3 linked regions of the Ovis aries genome follow. The protein of the gene in region 1 interacts with the protein of each later gene in a pairwise test. Links are inferred from orthologs where the notes say so. Each region holds a gene or a part of one and is shown in the gene's direction. Other genes may lie near its edges. The genes, in order: DUSP12, EIF5 and serine/threonine-protein phosphatase 2A regulatory subunit B'' subunit beta.

Region 1 (7,558 bases):
TTTTCAGTTTCTCTGCCCATTTTCTATTTTTATTTGCAGTTGAGTTGTATGAGTTCTTTATATATTTTGGATATTAACTCCTTATCAGATATATGGTTTGAAAATATTTTTTCCCATTCTGTATACTGCCCTTTCCTTTTTTTGACTGTTTCTTTTGCTATGCAGAAACTTTTTAGTTTGATATAGTCCCACTTATTGCTTCTGGTGTCATGTCCAAAAAGTTGTTGACAAAACCATTGTTTGGTCATGGTACCCTTGCCAAAGATCATTTGCGCATATATGTAAGGGTTTATTTCTGGGCTCTCTATTCTGCTGCATTGCCCCATGTTTCCATCATTATGCAAGTACCATGACTGCTATTTCTTGACCAATAACAGCTTTAGTGTCTCTCTAGCCTTCTTTCCCTTTGGTAAGATTTATTAACATACTGAATCATAGAATCACCTCCACTTCCTGACAGCATCCAATCCAGAGCAAAGTCTTGCTTCCATAGCCCCTTAGCCCTAACTCATCTAATGTAAGCTCAGATCCTGTATGCATGCTAAGTCGCTTTAGTTGTGTCTAACTCTTTGCGACCCTATGGACTGTAGCCCGCCAGGCTCCTCTGTCTATGGGATTCTCCAGGCAAGAATACTGGAGTGGGTTGCCATGCCCTCCTCCAGAGGATCTTCTGGACCCAAGAGATTGAACCCAGGTCTTTTAAGTCTCGGTGCATTGGCAGGCGGGTTCTTTACCACTGGTGCCCCTTGGGAAGCCCAAAATCCTGTAATAGGATCTTCCTAACATTCTCTTATGATTCTTTTATGATTATCAAATCCCTTATGATTATACAGTGGAAGTGAGAAATAGATTTATGGGACTAGATCTGATAGATAGAGTGCCTGATGAACTATGGACGGAGGTTCGTGACATTGTACAGGAGATAGGGATCAAGACCATCTCCATGGAAAAGAAATGCAAAAAAGCAAAATGGCTGTCTGGGGAGACCTTACAAATAGCTGTGAAAAGAAGAGAAGCGAAAAGCAAAGGAGAAAAGGAAAGATATAAGCATCTGAATGCAGAGTTCCAAAGAATAGCAAGGAGAGATAAGAAAGCCTTCCTCAGCAATCAAGGCAAAGAAATAGGGGAAAAACAACAGAATGGGAAAGACTAGAGATCTCTTCAAGAAAATTAGAGATATCAAGGAAATATTTCATGCAAAGATGGGCTCAATAAAGGACAGAAATGGTATGGACGTAACAGAAGCAGAAGATACTAAGAAGAGGTGGCAAGAATACACAGAAGAACTGTACAAAAAAGATCTTCACGACCAAGATAATCACAATGGTGAGATCACTCACCTAAAGCCAGACATCCTGGAATGTGAAGTCAAGTGGGCCTCTGAAAGCATCACTATGAACAAAGCTAGTGGAAGTGATGGAATTCCAGTTGAACTATTTCAAATCCTGAAAGATGATGCTGTGAAAATGCTGCACTCAATATGCCAGCAAATTTGGAAAACTCAGCAGGGACCACAGGACTGGAGAAGGTCAGTTTTCATTCCAATCCCAAAGAAAAGCAATGACAAAGAATGCCCAAACTACCGCACAATTGCACTCATCTCACACGCTAGTAAAGTAATGCTCAAAATTCTCCAAGCCAGGCTTCAGCAATATGTGAACCGTGAACTTCCAGATGTTCAAGCTGGTTTTAGAAAAGGCAGAGGAACCAGAGATCAAACTGCCAACATCCGCTGATCATGGAAAAAGCAAGAGAGTTCCAGAAAAACATCTATTTCTGCTTTATTGACTATGCCAAAGTCTTTAACTATGTGGATCACAATAAACTGTGGAAAATTCTGAAAGAGATGGGAACCACCTGACCTCTTGAGAAACCTGTATGGAGGTCAGGAAGCAACAGTTAGAACTGGACACGGAACAACAGACTGGTTCCAAATAGGAAAAGGAGTACGTCAAGGCTGTATATTGTCACCCTGCTTATTTAACTTATATTCAGAGTACATCATGAGAAACGCTGGGCTGGAAGAATCACAAGCTGGAATCAATATCTCTGGGAGAAATATCAATAACCTCAGATATGCAGATGACACCACCCTTATGGCAGAAAGTGAAGAGGACCTAAAAAGCCTCTTGATGAAAGTGAAAGAGGAGAGTGAAAAAAGTTGGCTTAAAGCTCAACATTCAGAAAACGAAGATCACGGCATCTGGTCCCATTACTTCATGGGAAATAGATGGGGAAACAGTGGAAACAGTGTCAGACTTCATTTTTTTGGGCTCCAAAATCACTGCAGATGGTGATTGCAGCCATGAAATTAAAAGACGCTTACTGCTTGGAAGAAAAGTTATGACCAACCCAGATAGTATATTCAAAAGCAGAGACATTACTTTGTCAACAAAGGTCCGTCTAGTCAAGGCTATAGTTTTTCCACTGGTCATGTATGGATGTGAGAGTTGGACTGTGTAGAAAGCTGAGTGCTGAAGAATTGATGCTTTTGAACTGTGGTGTTGGAGAAGACTCTTGAGAGTCCCTTGGACTGCAAGGAGATCCAACCAGTCCATTCTAAAGGAGATCAGTCCTGGGTGTTCATTGGAAGGATTGATGCTAAAGCTGAAACGCCAGTATTTTGGCCACCTCACGCGAAGAGTTGACTCATTGGAAAAGACTCTGATGCTGGGAGGGATTGCGGGTAGGAGAAGGGGACGACAGAGGATGAGATGGCTGGATGGCATCAACGACTCAATGGACATGAGTTTGAGTGAACTCCAGGAGTTGGTGATAGACAGGGAGGCCTGGCGTGCTGCAATTCATGGGGTCGCAAAGAGCTGGACATGGCTGAGCGACTGAAGTAAACATTGTCTTAAGACCTGCATTTCCCAAAATTATACAGTTCATGATTGAGTAATAAACTCAATTTATTTAAAACTACACTTGGATTCTTGGTGGTCTTTGAGTGCACTGGCACAAAACCATGGGATCAATATTTTCAAATATACAGAATAATATACACCAACAAGAAGTCACATACCAATAAAAAAAAAGGGGGGGTGCAAAAAGAAAAAAAAGTAAAAAGTCACTAGAGAACTACAAACAAATGGTTTCATACGTACTGTAAAAGTGTTGTATTTCAAATGTATAAGACTATGGTACTGATTCAGTTGGTGGCACCATCATTTCAACTTGAATCAATTTTCTGCTTCCGCAGAAATGTAGTAAAATCTCAACACTAAGAGCCTGACAAACCCTGTAGGTGCTTGCGTCAGCGATAGGAAGCCGGTGGAATGGGGTTTAGCTCCGCCCAGGCCGAAGCCCCGTCACCTTCCCCAGTAAATCCGCGTTCCTGCGGTCGACGAAATCCTCCGAGGCAGGAGCGGCGCAACTCAGACCGGCTGGTCCGACAATAAGGACGTTCTAGCCGATTGCCTACTCGGTGGTAGGGCCCGCCGCAGCCCGGCCTCCGGGCGCCGCCATGTTGGAGGCGCAGGACGGGAGCCATGGCTGCGAGCACCAGATCAGCGGCCAGAGCCGGGCCGGTTCTGCCAGGAACATGCTGGAAGTGCGTCCGGGGCTGTTCTTGGGTGGAGCCGCGGCCGTCGCGGAGCCAGACCACCTGAGGGAGGCGGGCGTCACGGCAGTGCTGACGGTGGACTCGGAGGAGCCTAACTTCAAAACGGGGGCTGGGGTCGAGGGTCTACGGAGTCTCTTCGTGCCAGCGCTGGACAGACCCGAGACCGACCTGCTCAGTCATCTGGACCGCTGTGTGGCCTTCATCGTCCAGGCTCGCGCCGAGGGCCGCGCGGTGCTGGTGCACTGGTGAGTGGTCGGGTCCGTGGGGAGAGCGACCCGCCACGCTTCTACCCTGGCCCACCTCACCCTTTCCCTCCCAGGGCCCAGAAGAGGACCACAGGGCTGTCGGGCCGCTAGGACCTCCACCCTCTTGCGTAGGCTTGTGTCAGAGAGAGGAGTGGGCAGGACACGGTCCCTTGACGACGCGCAGGCTTTTCATTCATTTTGTTTGTGTTGGTTCATTCTGCAGCCGCTGAGTTTTCGAGGGTAGGAGGAATCTTCAGATAAATGACTAAGTCTCTACATCTAAAGAGTTTAAATCTCTTCTCGAGTAGCCAGACACATACTGAGGAAATGCAGACTAGGATGCGAGGTGTGTAGTAAGAGAGATTATTGTAATAGAGGTTAAGGTTATTCAAACTTCAGAGGGAGAACAGGCTGTTTTCATTGTTTTTGTTTGAGGCAGGCGTGGCCGATGTAGGGGAGATTTGGGGAGAGAAAATTTGATTAGTACGTAGCAGTGGCAGAAAGAGTGTAATTACAAGTTTACGCTTACTGAGTCAGCAATTTTATAGCCAGCCTTTGTTATAAATATTACATAAAGAACATAAGGTAGTGATAAAATAGAAGTTTGGGACCAGATCTCCAGGGCCTTTAAAACCAAGAGCAAAAGAGTTTAGATTTGTTCTGAAGCCATTATAAGATGTTAAAAAATTAGTGTAATTATTTTTCAGTAGGTAATGCATTCACATGGTACAGAATTAAAAATGAATAAGGAAATAAAGGAATACTTCTTTTGTACAGCAGTAGTATTTCAGAGGCAAAGGATTTACTTGACTAGAAGAAGCAGACGAGAAGTGGACCCCAAACTTTACCATTTATAGGGGGTGGGTTTTTTTGTTTTTGTAATTGTTGCTGTTTGATATTTTAAAGGTTTCTTTTTCAGTCATGCAGGGGTCAGTCGAAGTGTGACTGTCATAACCGCTTTTATAATGAAGACTGACCAGCTTACCTTTGAAAAAGCCTATGAAAACCTTAAGTCTGTCAAGCCAGAGGCCAAGTGAGTTACTTGTTACAGTAATAATTCTGCTTTTGTGATGCAGTTTTATTTAAAGAAAATTTAACTCTGTATCTGTTTGCCCTTACAGGATGAATGAGGGGTTTGAGTGGCAACTGAAATTATACCAGGCAATGGGCTGTGAAGTAGATACCTCCAGTGCAGTTTATAAACAATATCGTTTACAAAAGGTTACAGAGAAGTATCCAGGTAAGTAATAATTGGCAGTATGTATTCAGTCCTTTGTGGGTGTCCCTGGTGGCTCAGCCTGGGTAAAGGATCCGCCCGCAATGTGGTAGACCTGGATTCCATCCCTGGGTTGGGAAGATCCCCTGGAGGAGGTCATCACAACCTACTCCAGTATTCTTGCTTTTGGAAATCCCATGGACTGAGGAGCCTGGTGGGCTGTATAGTCCATGGGGTTGCCAAGAGTCAGACACAACTGAGCAACTAAGCACAGCACATTCAGTCTTTTCTAGATGTAGTTTACTCTGACGCTAGATGCTTCAGGTGCATTATTTCACTTTTGAAGCAGGTACTTTTATTTCATTTTGAAACCACGGTTTAGCAAGAAATAGGTTGTTCAGGGTCACGTGGTTTGTAAATGGCTGGCTCTAATTTGAAGTCAGGCAGTCTGTGCCTGGAAGCCAAGGGCTGCATTGCTGTGCTCTCCCACCTCGTCCTCATTGCTCAACAGGGGAGACTTTTTTTAATTTCTGAGATTAGCATTTTGTTGTTTAGTTGCTAAGTTGTGTCTGATTCTCTTGTGACCCCATGGACTGGCTCCTCTGTCCATGGGATTTCCCAGGCAAGGATACTGGAGTGGGTTGCCATTTCCTTCTTCCGGGGATCTTCCCAACCTATGGATCGAACCTGCGTCTTCTGTATTGGCATGTGGATTCTTTACCACTGAGCAACTTGCCTCAATTTGACACAAACTGAATTTTGTCTGAAAATGCAGAGTTGATTTTGACAAATGGATACATTTTATGTTACGTAGAATTGCAGAACTTACCTCAAGAACTCTTTGCTGTTGACCCATCTGCCATTTCACAAGGATTGAAAGATGGGGGTCTCTACAAATGTAGAAAGTGCAGGTAAAATATTTTGTATCCTCTGGAGATTTTACTTTGTCTCAGTAGAAAAGTACTGAAAGTTTCAGTTTCTTAAAATCTTGTAGGAAGAATTTGTTTAATGGAATAATACAGAAATTTCATATTCAGATCTGGTTTCAAGAAGAATATGAATGCTTAAAAGTTACCTGGTTACTTGTAGAGATTATCAAAAATTAAAACAGTATAATCATTGTTACATTAACTTGCTGTCTAAGAAGTAGTGCACTTTTAATCTATTTTTCCATCCTTTTGGAAATCATTAATGTTTTTGTTTGTTTGGGAGTTGCAGGCGATCTTTATTTAGAAGTTCTAGCATTTTGGATCATAATGAAGGAAGTGGTCCTACAGCCTTTGCCCACAAGAGGATGACAGCATCCCCCGTGCTTTCCACCGGGAGTCAGGCTCAGTGTACATCTTACTTCATTGAACCTGTACAGTGGATGGAATCCACTTTGTTGGGAGTGATGGATGGACAGGTGAGAACACATTTTACTTTCTTTAGTTTTATTATGTCATCTGTGTTTTGTTCCTTCTTTCATTTTAAACCATACTTTAACTAGTGTTTTACTCCATCTTAACTGCTTTCTTTCTAAAGATTATATCTTTGTAGTATAGGCAAGATTCTATCAAAGATAAATAAAAACCAAGTGATCTAAAATAATGATCCATTTTTTGGTTGAGAGCTTTTGGTCTCAGTTAATTCCTTTTAAGTCTATTGTTTATATTTTTTTAAATTAAGACAAATTAGAAAATATTTAGCAAAACTTGAGCTTTGTAAGAAGTAGAGAAAATCATGGATTTTAAAATTAGATTTAAAATTTCTTCTTAATCTTCCTTTTTTCTCCTTTGGCTCTTTGTATCTCTGTTTTCTTGATTCTTTTAGTTTTATACGTTTGTTACGAGATTCTTTTTCATTTCTTACTAATTCTAAAGAATGCAGCTCATATGAGCATCCTGTGACAGCTACAACTCTTTTAGGTTTACTTGATATTAATGTAAAGATATTCCTAATCTAAGATGTAATGATGTTTAAAGATTATCTAAGTTTGTATAGTGAGTTTTTAGGAAACTCTCACTATTTCATTTGAAGAATACAATAATTTTATAAAACGGAACAGATATATATATTCACATTTTATATAGGAGGAAACTTAATCTACATTAGTTAATGTCTTGCCTAGAAGGGGGTACCCTATATTCAAACCCATGTTTTCAGATGCTGCTGGTTTATTGAGATATAATTCACTTGCCATATAATTCACCCATGGAAAGTGTACAGTTCAGTGGTTTTTAGTATGTTCACAGGTTTTAGAATCTGTCACCATTTTTATCGCTACCAAATAAACCTTGTACAGAAGTCAGTTCCTACTCTTGATACTATCTGTTGAAGTCCACTTTATCTGTTTTTTCTTTTGTGGCTTATGTTTTTGCCCTGCTGTTTTTATTTATCTTGGTTGCCTCTTGTGGTTTGTGGGATCCTGGTTTGCTGACCAGGGATTGAACCCTGGCCCTCAGCAGTGAAAGCGTGGAGTCTTAACCATTGGATGCCCAGAGAATTCCCTTGCTGCTTTTATTTAATCTGGGAAGCACCCAAGATAAAGGC
Region 2 (7,484 bases), on another chromosome or scaffold:
GACTTGGTCTTGCTTAAGTCATGCCAAACAGATTCACAGACACCAATTACTAAACAATCATAAGGCCAAGTTAATAATTTACCTTTTCAGTAGCTAATCATGTTTGCCCAGGACATTACCTGAAATGCATAGTTCAGGCACACATTCGACAGGGATTTCATAGCACCAAGTACCCTTATTTAGTAAACTGTGAGTACCTGGTTGGGGGAAAGAATGCAGCCAAATGAGGCGGAGACCCAGAAGCGGGAGATGGAATTGTGCAATGAGCTTGGCGTCAAGCTGGAGTTCAAACACTGCACTATTTACTAGACAGGTGACTTGAGGAAACTTAATCTTCCTGAGTCTCTTTGCTCATCTGTAAAATGGGCATAACAACACTTCCTCATGTGAATGTTATGGAATTAAATGAGGTTACACATGCATAACTAGGGTTACACATCCTACATTTCTCTATGGTTATATTCATCTGGAAAGGCTGTGTGGTATGATGGTTAAGAGAACAGACCCTGGGAGCAGAGAGATCTGATTCTAGCTCTACCACTTAGTAATATATCTAGGGCAAGCTGCTTTTTTCCAGTAAGCTTCAGTTTGCTCATTTGTAAAATGGGAATAAAGATTCCTCAGAGGCAAAGAAGTAAGTGAAATAGTGTATTCAAAGGACTTAGAAAATTCTAGGTTATGAAAAACATTCAACAAATGGTATGTTTGAGATTTTTAAAAATTGTCCATGATTAGATACAATGAATAACACATGTACTAAAAATTAAAATTAGTACTAACTTCAATGAAATTAAATGCAGGGCCATCAAACATGATCCAAAAAGTTATCACTTTGTATTTAGTTATTAGAAAACTTTTTGAGGAAGCAGGCCTCTAGCCTCAGACTAGTTTCATGCTCATAAACTAGTTTCTAAAATAATGTCATTTGTGTGCAGTCATGCAAAACTCAAAGTTTCAATACTGCTAAGTCATGCCTCAGCGTGAACCAGAGAAGCAGGTCTGGATCTATCTTTCCAGTTTGTGTGACCGGAATCCTGGTATCCATAAAGCATTATGCATTTGGTTTAACATCGTGTGATTGTAATAAAAGCCCCTGCAGCAAGGGACAGATCACTTCTCTCAATTCCGGATCATCCATTTTATTTACTCTCTCCCTTTTATTTATTCTTCCCACTGACCCTGTCGGGTTCTAAATGATTTATAAAGCTTATAAACCCTTGCAAGAGCAATCTTGAACTTTGATTTTAAAAATCAACATTTTTTAATCCTAACCTTGCAAATTTGAATGGTGTAAATCAAAGGTCGGCCCCTTATCCACTCACCCTGTCCTCAGCAACACTGCTACTTCATCCAGATCCGGGAAACCACACAGCTGCCCAGGACACTGCTCCAACCGCTCGGTTATTTGGCTCTTACTCTATTATAATGAAGTATGTTTCCACATTTCAAGGTGGACTCTGCATTTTTACAGTCGCAACCGAAATTTTACACAAAATAAAAGTATCTGAAAGAATGAGAATGTTTCTGTAATCACCAAAACTAAAATTTGAGCAGCTCTGGTAAACTGTAATCATTTGCAAGTGAATACACTGGACCTGGAACCTCATTAGTACACCCACTTTGGTCTCTGCTTTCCCAGCAAGGAGGTCACAATTCGGAAACACTGGGAGGGAGGTGGGGGCAATGATTCCACGAACGGTAAGGTGATGCGAGGCTTATTTTGAGCAGTGTTGGTAGAGCACGAGAACATGGAGACATTCCCCACGCCAACATCACTTCCAGGAGGTCCAGGGGTTAAGAATTACTTTCGTGTTTTCCTCTTTAGAAAACATGTGGACAATAGACACCAGTCAAGCTTGGCCTGCAGAGCGGGCGCCGGGGAAGGGGCGAGGCGGACGGCTGAATCACGATCGCCGCGACCACGCACACCTGAGCTTCGGAGGATAAAAGGCGGCACGTGGGACGAAAGACGCAGACCCTCTAAGCTTCGCCCTCTGCCCAGGCCTAGGGAATTGTGGAAGAAAACCAACTTCTTTCTCAAGACTGGAGGACGAGGGTCACCGGAAAAGAAGGGACAGAGAGGAAGCCCCGAGAGTTCCCGCACCCGTCTCGGGAACACCTGAGGGAACGCGGCCTCGGGAGCCGCGACGCAGCCAGCGGGGGAGGGGAAGGACCAACCGCCATCTTCCCCGGCGCCCAAACCGACAAAGCGCAGTGTAGCGGCGGACCTCTGCCGCCGAGGCCCGCCCACTCTCGCGAGACCGCGAAGGCCTCTGGGAAAAGCGGGGGAAGGGAGAGCGAGAGAAGGAAGCCGGAACGCGGGGCTGGGGGCGGGCGGAGGCGGCGAGTGGAGCCTCAGGAAGCAGAAAGGGCGGGGAAAAACGCGACAGACGCGGCATGCAGGCCAATGACGAGCGAGCTCGGGCGAACCGCCAGCCAATGGGCTGTGCGGCTTGGCGCGGGGGGCGGGCGCTGGGGCCGAGGGTAGCTTGAGCGCGGCGGCGGCGTTGTTCAGTCAGAGCGAGAACATTCCAGAGGTGAGTCCGGTGGAGGGGCGGTAGCCCCGCGCCCCCTCCCCCGTCTTCCCCGCCCCCTCGACCCCCGCGGGCCGCTGGCTGGCGGGGAAGGCGCCCCGACGCCCGCAGCTCACTGCGCCGTCTCTCCGCGCCAGGTCGCCAGGCCCCGGGCGCTGAAGGGTGTGGACCCCGGACGTCGCTGGGACAGCCCCTCCCCGCTGCTCGGCGGCGCCTGGCCCGGCCGCTGCTCGCTGCGCTGCCTCCGCCGCCTCCGCCGCCGCTCCTCGGACTCGGGTTCGCGCGCCTCACTTCATCCCAGTCCCGGGCGAGCAGCGTTGGGTTTATGTCTTTATTTGACGAAAACGGTGAGTCGGCGAGCGGGCGGGCTCGGGCCGGTGGGGAGATGGCGGCCGCACAAGATGGCGGCGCGCCGCGTGACCCGCGCGCGCGCGTGAGTGTTTGTGAGCGCGCGCGCGCGTGTGTGTGAGTGTGTGGCGCAGTTCGGGCGGGCGGCGGGGCCGGCCTCCGCGTCCCCTCCTCGCCGCACCCGCCTCTCCTCCGCCCCCACCGCGGCCTCCCGGGAGCGCGCCGCGCGGCCCCGCCGCCGCCCGGGGCTGACTCAGGCCTAATTGCTGCATTTATGAGTCATCGCCGCGGCGGGGCGGGGCGGGGCCGGCGCCCCTCGGCCGGTTTCGCTTCCCCCGGCGGAGCGGCGGCCCTGCGTCGGCGGAGGGCGCCCCGGGCGGCGCAAAGGCGGAGCTGCCGTGGGAGCTGGCGATGTCGCCGCCGGCGCCGCGCCCGCCTTGCGGGTGCCGCCGGGTCAGCCCTGACAGCTGGGGGCCGGCGCGAAGGTGGCCGGGTGTTTGCATAGAGAAGGGGAAGGGGTCCACCCTCCGCGCGCGCCAGTCGGGCAAGATCGTGCTCCGCGGGCGTAGTTAACGGAAGTGTGGTTCTGAAGTAAGCGCTTGCAGCCAAAGGCTTCGACCTCGAAGATCAACTCCACAGCCTGCCGTCTTGAAGTGATGTTGATGTGTCTGAGAAGTTTGTGGGTACCACAGTCTGGGTTGGTCCTTCTGTTAAAATACGGCCAACCCACGGAAGCAAGCCGTCGACGTGATGACTGGTTTGATGAAAAGCTGATGCAGCGTAATTTGTCCTGTTTCAGTCAGGCATCGACCAAAAAAAAGGTCGCATCTTCGTCAAAATGAAGGCTTTTTGTTGCTGCACGTGTCCCGTGTTACGTGAGACTAGTAGCTGTTCTTTGTACATAAACTCATGTTTTTAACGTAGGGGAAGTAGGCGTAATTATACAGAGCGGACAGGGAGGGATTTCGTTGCAGGAGTTGTTAAACGTGGGGGTTGGTTTGTTTTCTCTTCCAGAGCTGTTGCGCAGCCACTGGCACCTGTATTGGGGAAACATAGCATACAAGCAAGAAGCTTACAGCCTCAGCGGCGAAAAATTTTTCATGTCAGAGACCGAGAACTCTTGCAGTCGTTTATGTCATCCCTTCTTCTCCAGACAGAGGATACCAAAAAATTGCAATCAAAGATCTCTTCATCTTATTGATAAAGTCACTAATAAGCCAAAATGTCTGTCAACGTCAACCGCAGCGTGTCAGACCAGTTCTATCGCTACAAGATGCCCCGTCTGATTGCCAAGGTAATACTAAATCTTCATTTTAGTAACAAGTTCTAAGCTTTTTTCATGGATTATTAAAGGTTACTTCTCCCCCAGTGTGGACAATGCAAAAATTAAACTTTTTACTTCCTTTAGGTTGAGGGCAAAGGAAATGGAATCAAGACAGTTATAGTCAACATGGTTGACGTAGCGAAAGCGCTTAATCGGCCTCCAACGTGTAAGTAATGCTTCTTGAAAGGAATCTGAGAAGGCATTTTATTGACATAATTGTGATGCTCTCTGGTCTGCAAATCTTGCCTGAATTGAGTTAGCTTTTGAGTTAAATGGAAACTTGGATTTAAAACTGATTGATAGCATTAGTTAGTATATAAAATTACCAGGGCAACACTTTCTTAATCTTGTCCATTTAAAAACTGATAGATTCATGTCGATGTATCGCAAAACCAATACAGTATTGTAAAGTGAAACAAGTTAAAAAAATAAAAATTAAAAAGAGTAATAATTCTATAAATGAGAGTGAGGAGCTAAAGAATCCTAGAGTAGGAAATGGCAACCCACTGTAGTATTCTTGCCTAGGAAATCCCATGGACAGAAGACCCTTGGAGGGTACAGTCCATGGGGTCAAAAAAAGTCGGGCATGACTTGAGTGACTTAGCACTCATCCAGAGATGAGTTAATTGTAATAAATTAAAATTTTTTCCCCCCAAATAGATCCCACCAAATATTTTGGTTGTGAGCTGGGAGCACAGACCCAGTTTGATGTTAAGAATGACCGTTACATTGTCAATGGATCTCATGAGGCGAATAAGCTGCAAGACATGTTGGATGGATTCATTAAAAAATTTGTTCTCTGTCCTGAGTGTGAGAATCCTGAAACAGATCTGGTGAGTGCCTTTGAGGTTCTTGTCAGTAGGAGAAAAAGTGTATTTATTTCTGTGATGTCACCAAATCATGTTTCCAAGAAGGCAGAGTAGACTTACGTAAATTGCAAAACCTCAAATTTTACAGATGCTTCCATACTGACCTTATGTTTAAAAAAATTCTTTTGATGTTAAACTGGTGTTTAGGTGGCTTTTGATGGTTAGTTTCACACTGTTTTTGAATTTTCATCATGTGTTAATGGGTGACATATTTTTACTTTTTTGACAGCATGTCAATCCAAAGAAGCAAACAATAGGTAATTCTTGTAAAGCCTGTGGCTATCGAGGCATGCTTGACACACATCATAAACTCTGCACATTCATTCTCAAAAACCCACCTGGTAAGTGCGTGTGATGAACTTCTAAAACCTTGACATAAAGCAACTGATTGTTGAAAACAGTGGAAGTGTCTTTACCGCTATATAGAATAAGGTTAATCCTTGAACACCTGTGCAGGTGAAAGTTTGCTTATAATAAGGTCAGCCCTGTGTATACAAGGATCAACCAACCAACAGTGAATAGTGTAGTACTGTAGTATGTAATTATTGGGGGGTGGGGAACTCCATGTAAATGGATCGGTGTGGTTTCAGCTTAACATTCAAAAGTCAGCTGTTTGATGAACCTGCTGTTGTATGTACTATTAAAGGTCAAGTACAGGCTACCATTAAACTCAACCATATCCTCAATTTTTAAGACGTTTTAGGATGTATGAAATATTGGACAAATTGTGATGGGGTCATAGTAAAGATCTACTTCTGGAATTGTTCAGTTGCTAAGTTGAGTCGGACTCTTTGCAACCCCATGGATTGCTTCTGGAATACTCATTTGTACATGAGGGCCTTGGCTCAGTAGGCCAGAGTGGCTTTAGAGCATGCAAGCAACACTCTGTGGCAGATAAATCAAAATTGTCTGACACAATTTGAGCTTGCTATAGCAAAAAAGTCTAACCTATTCCGGTGTTCTCTTTTCTGTGAGACTAGCCGTTACATAGACTTGAACACAGTTCTAGTTTTTGGCTGAAGCATAGTTGAGAATACCCTTGTTGATCAGTTTATGAGGAGTGGAAAGAGAGGGTCATGAGTGCCAACTTTCAAGTACTTGTGTGGTCTGTTTTTCATTGTTGAGTTGCTACATGGCATCCAACTCTTAATTTTACTAAAACAGCTAATACCTCTGATATTTACTGGCTTTTCTTTCTTAGACTCAGTTGCCTACCTATGAAACATAGTGGATGAATTTGATTTATGAACCCTTTTAGAATTATAGGTAGCATTTTCTGTGGCTTTCTGAGGGCAGGGTTTTAAATGTTAATGGTGGGCAATGAGGTATAATATAACTCATGGTACTCAACTTTCCTTTTTATCCGTGTAGAGAATAGTGACAGTAGCACAGGAAAAAAAGAAAAGGAAAAGAAAAATAGAAAGGGCAAAGACAAGGAAAATGGCTCCGTTTCCACCAGTGAGACACCACCACCACCACCACCACATGAGATCAGCCCTCCTCCACATGCTGTGGTGAGTGCGAGGCTCGAGGGGGGCGGTGGGCACTAACATTGTGTGAAATGTGACCTTTGGTTGAGGTGTGCAGAAACAAACTGCTTTTCTGTGAACAGCGTACCAGTACGTTGGGTTCCAGATGCTTATTGGTTGATTAGAAGTAAATAGAAATTTAGTGAGAAAATGATAATTTCACTAGAAATCTGGATTTTTTTTTTTTTTTTTTTTTTTTTACACCTTTAAGGTCTCTTTGGCCAAGCATTTTTGTTATTAAAAACAGGAAGAAGAAGAGGATGACGACTGGGGGGAGGATACAACAGAGGAAGCTCAAAGGCGTAGAATGGATGAGATCAGTGACCATGCAAAGGTTTTAACCCTCAGCGATGATTTGGAAAGGACTATTGAAGAGCGAGTCAATATCCTGTTTGATTTTGTGAAGGTAAAAACATTGTGTTGATCAGTAAGTCAGCTTCTACCCAGTCTTGAGGTTTTACTAGATATTTATTACCTTAAGCTGTTTGTTCAAAAATTTTTTGAGGGTGGTTCCAGGCAGTTTTTGGCAAGTGTGTATTTAGAAGTTCTAGAATCTTAAGTAAGGGAAAGGTTCATCAGAGTAGTGACTATGGTGCTGTGCTTAGTCACTCAGTCGTGTGCAGCTCTTTTGCGACCCCATGGACTGCAGCCTTCCAGACTCTGGAATTGTCCAGTCCTGAGTGGGTAACCGTTTGCTTCTCTAGGGGATCTTCCCAACCCAGGGATCAAACCCATGTCCTCCTGCATTGCAGGCAGATTATCTTTAGTATCAGAGCTACCAGGGAAGCCCCAGGGACAGTGCAAAATACGCGTCTGTCTCACTGAATTGCTTCTTTTGGTTTTTTTTTTAAACTTGCTTCCTTTTATTTGCAGAAAAAGA
Region 3 (6,772 bases), on another chromosome or scaffold:
GGCGCATCCAGCCCTGCCTGTCACTCCTGACCAGGGTGGCCGTGTTCTGAGGCACCTGAGGTCGTGCCTTAGGAGCTCGTGTATAGGGTTTTGCCATGTGAGGTCACAGGTAATGGGGACACACGCCATTGTCACAGGAAGTCATGAATAAGAGAGACACGTGTGCCGCTCGTGTAAGGTCGTATGTAAAGGACGCACATGCCTTTGTCATGTGCGGGCGTGTGTAAAGGACACGTGATCATTACACGTGTGATGTCATAAGTTACGGGCACACAAAGCACGCTCTTGCCATGTGACACCGTGCGTGAGGGGGACACAGGGCCTGGGCATGCAGGCTGTGAGGGGCCCTGAGCTGGGCATGTCCTTCTGCCCCCACCCCCGCGCCCCGCCCCCTTGGGCTCTGAGAGGCCTTCTGCGCCCGCACATACTCTCAGGCGCCTCCGGGTGGGGTCCAGTCTGGGACCGGGTCCCTGCAGGGCTCCGGTCACCCCTGCACGTGGGCAGGGACTTGGGCCTCAGGCTGCTCCTCCCTGACGCTGCCGTCGTCTCTTGAATCCAGAGGGAAAAAGGTGCAGAAGGAAGGGAAAATCAGCTACGCGGACTTTGTCTGGTTTCTGATCTCCGAGGAGGACAAGAAGACCCCCACCAGGTGGGTGTCGGGGCCTGCGCTCTGTCCAGGCTGTTGGGACCCTCGCAAGAGGAGCCCAGTGGTTACCCACTGGTGAGGGCGCCCCCCTGCGGCCCATCCCTGTGAGGGCGTCTCGGAGGGGCTCATATGAGGGGGTGGTCCCGGGGGTGGGGTCTGTCCCTCCCTAATCCTGGTGGGAGTGGGTCTGGGTGGACGGCTGTCCTGGTGGACGTGTGACCCTCCCGGCCACAGCCTTGAAGACTGGTCCCAGGGGTGGGGTCACCCTGGTGGGAGCGGGTCTGGGTGGACGACGTCCTGGTGGACGTGTGACCCTCCCGGCCGCAGGATCGAGTACTGGTCCCAGGGGTGGGGTCACCCTGGTGGGAGCGGGTCTGGGTGGACGATGTCCTGGTGGACGTGTGACCCTCCCGGCCGCAGCATCTCGTCACTCTGGTGGTGGGGGTGGATGTGACCCTCCAGCATTGAGCACTGGTTATAGAGGTGGGGTCACCCTGGTCAGAGCAGGTCTGGGTGGACGGCCGTCCCAGTGGACGTGTGACCCTCCTGGCCTCAGCATCGAGGACTGGGCCCGGGGGTGGGGTCACCCTGGTTGGAGCGGGTCTGGGTGGACGTGTGACCCTCCCGGCCGCAGCATTGAGCACTGGTTATAGAGGTGGGGTCACCCTGGTCGGAGTGGGTCTGGGTGGACGGCCGTCCCAGTGGACGTCTGGCCCTCCCGGCCGCAGCATTGAGTACTGGTTCCGCTGCATGGACCTGGACGGGGATGGGGCGCTGTCCATGTTTGAGCTGGAGTACTTCTACGAGGAGCAGTGCCGGCGGCTGGACAGCATGGCCATCGAGGCCCTGCCCTTCGAGGACTGCCTGTGCCAAATGCTGGACCTGGTGAAGCCCCAGACTGAAGGTGCTGTGCGGGGCCGGGCCCTGGGGAGGGGGCGCCCCTGGGAAGTGGGGCCCCAAGGGGGAGGGGGACACCCAGGGTGTGGGGATGCCCTGGGGAATAGGGTTGCCCCTGGAGTGGGGAGCTCCGGGGGGGATGGGGCTCAGCCTGGAGGGGTTCCCCAGGGACGTGGGGGCACCTGTGGGGGACCCCAGCAGCCTGGATGTGGTGGGGTGCTCTGGGAGAGGACACTGGGGGTGGGGATGGGGGCGCTGTCCAGGTTTGAGCTCGGAGTACTTCTCCAGGAGCAGTGACTGAGCACCGTGCACGTGGTCCAGCCTCGTGGCCCCGCCCTTCAGAGCGAGTGCCCTGTGGACATGACGCTGGCCCTCAGCCCCGTGTGACCCCTGGTGTGGAATGGCGCTGCAGCCGGGGCCCCGGGGTGGACATGGGGCCCCGCGGGGGGGGGGGGCCGCCCTCAGGTGGACCCCTGGGGTGGACACGCTTTCAGGCCCTCAGTGTGACCTGGGGTGGACATGACGCCAGCCCCCTCAGTGGGTGACCCCGGGGTGGACATGGCTTTCAGCCCCTCAGGGAGTGACCCCCGGGTGGGGCCCTCAGGGGATGGGGTGGACACCCAGCCCCGCCTCAGGTGTGCCCTGGGGTGGACATGGGGCCCCGCCTCAGGGAGGAGGGTGGACATGGCCAGCCCTCAGCCCTGGAGTGACCCCTGCGGTGGACATGGCGCTCAGCCCCGGGGTGGACATGGGCTCAGCCCTCAGCCTCGCGAGTGACCCCGGGGTGGACATGCCTTTCAGCCCTCAGCCCCCACGTGTGACCCCTGGGGGACATGGCCTTTCAGCCCCTCAGGGTGACCCCGGTGGACATGGGCTTTCAGCCGCCTCAGCCCCGTGTGACCCCGGGGTGGACATGGCAGCCCCGCCCCAGCCCTCAGGAGTGACCCTGGGGTGGACATGTCAGCCCTCAGGTGTGACCCCGGGGTCAGGGCTTTCAGGCCCTCAGTGTGACCCCGGGGTGACATGGCGCACCGTCAGCACGTCCCCGGTGGACATGCGCAGCCCGCCCTCAGCCCTCGCGAGTGACCCCTGGGGTGGACATGACGCTTTCAGCCCCGCCCTCAGCCCCCGCGAGTGACCCCTGGGGTGGACATGACGCTTTCAGCCCCGCCCTCAGCCCTTGCGAGTGACCCCTGGGGTGGACGCCATCCTTGTGGCCCCGCCCTCAGCCCTCGAGTGTGACCGCTGAGTCTGGACTCGACCTTCACAGCCCCGCCCTCACCGCGCGCGTGTGGTGAACTGACGTGGGGACTGAGTGTGCCCCGGGGCTGGGGACGGTTGCCGTGTCCCTCGGCCATGTTCCTCTGCCGTGCTCTGTCATACTCCACCGGGACCCCAGTGTGGGCGGTGCGGGGGCCCCCTGCACAGGGCTGCCCTTCTCAGGCCCGGTGCCGTGGCCCGGGGATTGCGTTGGTTGATCTGGGAGCCAGGGTGCTCGGTGGGTACATCCCAGGGCGCCCGGGATGCCTGCCAAGGTCACAGGAAGTCTCTGCCTCCAAGTGGAACACCTGGGTGTCCTGTGTCCTGGGAGCCCAGTCTCGGGTGTTGCCCTGTGGACTCGTCCTGGGGCCTCGTGCCTGGGCCCTCTTGCCCGGCCCAGGCTTCGTCCGGCTCCGTGTCCGTGGTCTAGGGCAGCTCGGGTCCCACCCTCTGGGTTAGGCGTGCGGACCCCTATATCCCCTGACGAACCTCCAGGGACACACAGGGCTCTGGTCCCCCAGGCACCCGCCAGGCTTTCTCCACACCGGCAGCACTCCTGTGGCCGGGCTGGCGGCAGAGTGCACAGTGCTGTGCCGTAAGGCGTGTGGCTTTGCACACGTGAGTGTGCTCATGACATGCCCATGTGCCCATGAGCTGCCCTGCGTCCAGGAGCCCCACTCCACACGCCAATGAGCTGCCCCAGGGGCCCGTGAGACTCCTCTTCGCCTCCCCCGCGGCTGCCCTGAGCGCTCACGCCCTGCGCCCCCCACCCCACCCACCCACGCTCCTAGCTGTCCCCTGAAGTCCCCTCCGTGCACCCCTACCCACGCGCTCACACCCGGGCCCCTCCCGCAGGGAGGATCACGCTGCAAGACCTGAAGCGCTGCAAGCTGGCCAACGTGTTCTTTGACACCTTCTTTAACATCGAGAAGTATCTGGACCACGAGCAGAAAGAGCAGGCGTCCCTGCTCAGGGTGAGGGAAGGTGACGGGGGAGGCCTGCGGGGGACGTGCGGGGGAGGGGGCGCCGGGCCGCTCCTGGGTGACACCCTACCGTGCTCTGCAGGAGAGTGAGAGCGAGGGGCCCGAGCTGTCCGACTGGGAGCGCTTCGCTGCTGAGGAGTACGACATCCTGGTGGCCGAGGAGGCTGCGGGGGACCCCTGGGAGGACGGGTGAGCGCACGGGGGGCGGAGAACTGGGTCCCGGGAGGAGGGGTGGCCGGGAACGGGGGCAGGGAAAGGGCTGCCAGCTGGGGCAGGGAGGACACCACCCCTGGCTGCCGCTTCTGGGGGAGGGTTTCCAAGGGACTGTGGCCCTGCCGCCGAGGGTGGGGACACTCTGACTCCGAACTGTGCCTGGTTCTGCCCCAGGTGCCCGGCCTTAGCGCCCTGAGTCTGGGAGCTCTTCCTGCTGAGTCAGGCCCTCCCCCAGCCCACGGAGGGTCCCACCAGGGCCCCTGTGAGGCACCTGTCAGGGCCGCATCTATCCTCTGGGGGTGGCACCCGCAGGCCCCCAAGGGGTGCAGATCCCACAGAGGGGGACAGGGTGGGGAGCCAGCTGGGCGGCTAAGCTGCTGAGCACACAGCTGTCCAGTGGGCCCGCTGTCCTGCCCCCGGGTGTCAGGGTGTTGGGTGCACACAGATGCTCAGCGGGCCTGCTGTCCTGCCCCCGGGTGTCAGGGTGTTGGGTGCACACAGATGCTCAGCGGGCCTGCTGTCCTGCCCCCGGGTGTCAGGGTGTTGGGGGGGCACAGCTGCTCAGCGGGCCCGCTGTCCTGCCCCCGGGTGTCAGGGTGTTGGGTGCACACAGCTGCTCAGCGGGCCTGCTGTCCTGCCCCCGGGTGTCAGGGTGATGTGTGCACACAGATGCTCAGTGGGCCCGCTGTCCTGCCCCCAGGTGTCAGGGTGTTGGGTGCACACGGTGGGCGCGGAGGGCGGGCGCTGTCCTCACGGGCCCCTCCCTGCAGATACGAGGCCGAGCTCAGCCCCGTGGAGCAGAAGCTGAGCGCCCTGCGGTCCCCGCTGGCCCAGAGGCCCTTCCTGGAGGCGCCGGGTGGCCTGGGCACCGTCGAGCTGTACGAGTACGAGTGTGGGGGCGACGACCTGCCGCCCTCGTGACCCGCGGCTCCTCGGGGCCCCCGTGGCCCGTGGGTGGGGAACGCGGCCGAGCAGCCGTCGGCCTCACCCAGCGCAGTTCGTCTCTCTGTGGTGCGTGCATCTTTATTTGGCACAGAAGCGGCTGCAGACGGCCCCGCGGTGCCTCTCCAGCAGGCAGGCGGCCTAGGCCCGCTGCCCTGTCCAGGCGCTTGGAGGCCCCCGTCAGCGGACGGTTCACCCCGGTGGGAATCCGGCGGTGCTGTGGTGGGTCTGCCCGGACTGTCCCCGCGCTGACCTTGGGCCGGCTGTGTCGGCAGGAACATTCCAGAAGCCACAGCGCCCGCTGTCCCACAGGGCCCCTGCAGGGATGCCGCCCCGGGCAGGGCCGAGGGAGCACCCAGGTCAGTGCGGCCCAGCATTTCTGTGTACGTGTACAAGATGTGTAAAGTTCCCTTCTATTTGCTGTGCAGAGCGGTGTAGAGTTTTATGAGATCACGTTTGTATTTTGAAATAAAGAATTTAAGGATTTTCAGCCTGAGGCTAACCTTGAGACAAGACAAGACACGGCAGCAGGGGATTCTGAACGCAGGTCACAGATGGACATGGCACGGATGTGGGGGTCCCCGCAGGGAGACTGTGGGGTGTGCAGGGCCCCCCGGACATGGAGCCGCCGGGCACGGGTCACAGGCCGGGGCCCCAGGGCCGTGCAGCCTGCACTCTGGCCACGGCGGTCCCTGCATGGCCCCGGGGCGGCCGGCTCCCCTGCGGTCACTTCTGTGCACGACAGGGTGCGAGCCTCCCCTGCCCACACCGCGCTGTGAGACCAGACGTCTGGCCTCCACGCCGCTCCGCCCACCCCCGGGTCCAGCACTGCTCCGGGCCCCACGGGACAGCATCAACCCGAGATTCCAGGGGAGGGTGGGCTCCCACGTGTCCAGTGGAGGTGGCCGAGGAGCATCCCCCAACCAGGCCTTGGGCAGGTTGTCTCAGGTCCTGGCACCCAGCAGACCTCGCGGAGGGTCCCTCCCTTCTGCAGCTGAGCCCCCGTGCCAGACACAGGCCCTCCTCCCTTCTGCAGCTGAGCCCCCCTGCCGGACACAGGCCCTCCCAGAGTAGGTGGGGCGGCAGGAGCTGGAGTGGGGGTCCCTCACACTAGACCACACGGGCCTGTCTTCCTGGCTGCCCCACCGTCCGGAGGGCGGACTCCACAGCCATGTGGTCCTGGGAGAGTCTCCAGGCGTCCCTGGGAGACGGGCGTGGCCACCATCTCCTCAGAGCTCAGACAGGCCGGGCCTTCCCCTTGGCCACCAAGACCCTCGAGGGACCCACCTCGTCTCTGACTCATCCCACTGAGCGGCAGATGCGGGAGGTCAGCAGAGAGGAGAGGAAACTCAGAACGTAGAGAAAAAAAACCTGGTGAGACCTGTCGGCCCCGGGGTTTAGAGATTGAAGAGATAAGAACCCACCCGTTGCAAAAGTAAGACTGGAAAAGCCATGGGGGAAATGCCTGCGAGAAAGGACAGCAAAGTCCCATCCTGTCAGGAGGTGCGCGCAGCGGTCTCCTGACGGCGCTGCTTCTGCGGGGGCGGGCGACAGTGACCGGCAGAGCCCATCTGCCTTCTACCTGCACGCCATCCGCCCTTCCTCCTCCTTCCACCCTCCCGACTGCTCATCAAGACGCCTGCCCCCAACCAGCCACCCATTAGTCCCTGCGCCCATCCATGCGTCTGTGCGGTCAGCCATCCGTATCTATGCGCCCGCCGGTCCACACCTCCCCCGCTACCTCTGTCCATCCACCCATCCTTCCTTCCGTCTGCCCACCCGCGCACCCATTCCTGTGTGTACCTTTCTGTCCATTTACCCGTACAGTGGC

Evidence for each region.
Region 2: the proteins of DUSP12 (region 1) and EIF5 interact in binary tests that used the Homo sapiens proteins (3 or more experiments, as listed by UniProt). The two-hybrid records come from large-scale screens. The link is inferred for Ovis aries from reciprocal best matches to the Homo sapiens genes DUSP12 and EIF5.
Region 3: the proteins of DUSP12 (region 1) and serine/threonine-protein phosphatase 2A regulatory subunit B'' subunit beta interact in binary tests that used the Homo sapiens proteins (3 or more experiments, as listed by UniProt). The two-hybrid records come from large-scale screens. The link is inferred for Ovis aries from reciprocal best matches to the Homo sapiens genes DUSP12 and PPP2R3B.

The regions. Positions count from the first base shown.
Region 1 is NC_056054.1:113,138,411-113,145,968, forward strand, and holds the start of DUSP12 (dual specificity protein phosphatase 12), read left to right. Parts: upstream 1-3,432; 5' UTR 3,433-3,466; coding exon 3,467-3,810; intron 3,811-4,729; coding exon 4,730-4,843; intron 4,844-4,931; coding exon 4,932-5,050; intron 5,051-5,840; coding exon 5,841-5,937; intron 5,938-6,244; coding exon 6,245-6,431; intron 6,432-7,558. UniProt on the Homo sapiens protein: Dual specificity phosphatase; can dephosphorylate both phosphotyrosine and phosphoserine or phosphothreonine residues. Can dephosphorylate glucokinase (in vitro).
Region 2 is NC_056071.1:65,724,732-65,732,215, forward strand, and holds the start of EIF5 (eukaryotic translation initiation factor 5), read left to right. Parts: upstream 1-2,467; 5' UTR 2,468-2,537; intron 2,538-2,671; 5' UTR 2,672-2,881; intron 2,882-3,896; 5' UTR 3,897-4,104; coding exon 4,105-4,176; intron 4,177-4,290; coding exon 4,291-4,372; intron 4,373-4,866; coding exon 4,867-5,039; intron 5,040-5,304; coding exon 5,305-5,416; intron 5,417-5,950; exon of another isoform or gene 5,951-6,077; intron 6,078-6,446; coding exon 6,447-6,589; intron 6,590-6,851; coding exon 6,852-7,010; intron 7,011-7,477; coding exon 7,478-7,484.
Region 3 is NC_056080.1:7,320,885-7,327,656, forward strand, and holds the end of serine/threonine-protein phosphatase 2A regulatory subunit B'' subunit beta, read left to right. Parts: intron 1-559; coding exon 560-649; intron 650-1,374; coding exon 1,375-1,550; intron 1,551-3,658; coding exon 3,659-3,777; intron 3,778-3,868; coding exon 3,869-3,975; intron 3,976-4,769; coding exon 4,770-4,920; 3' UTR 4,921-5,431; downstream 5,432-6,772. UniProt on the Homo sapiens protein: The B regulatory subunit might modulate substrate selectivity and catalytic activity, and might also direct the localization of the catalytic enzyme to a particular subcellular compartment.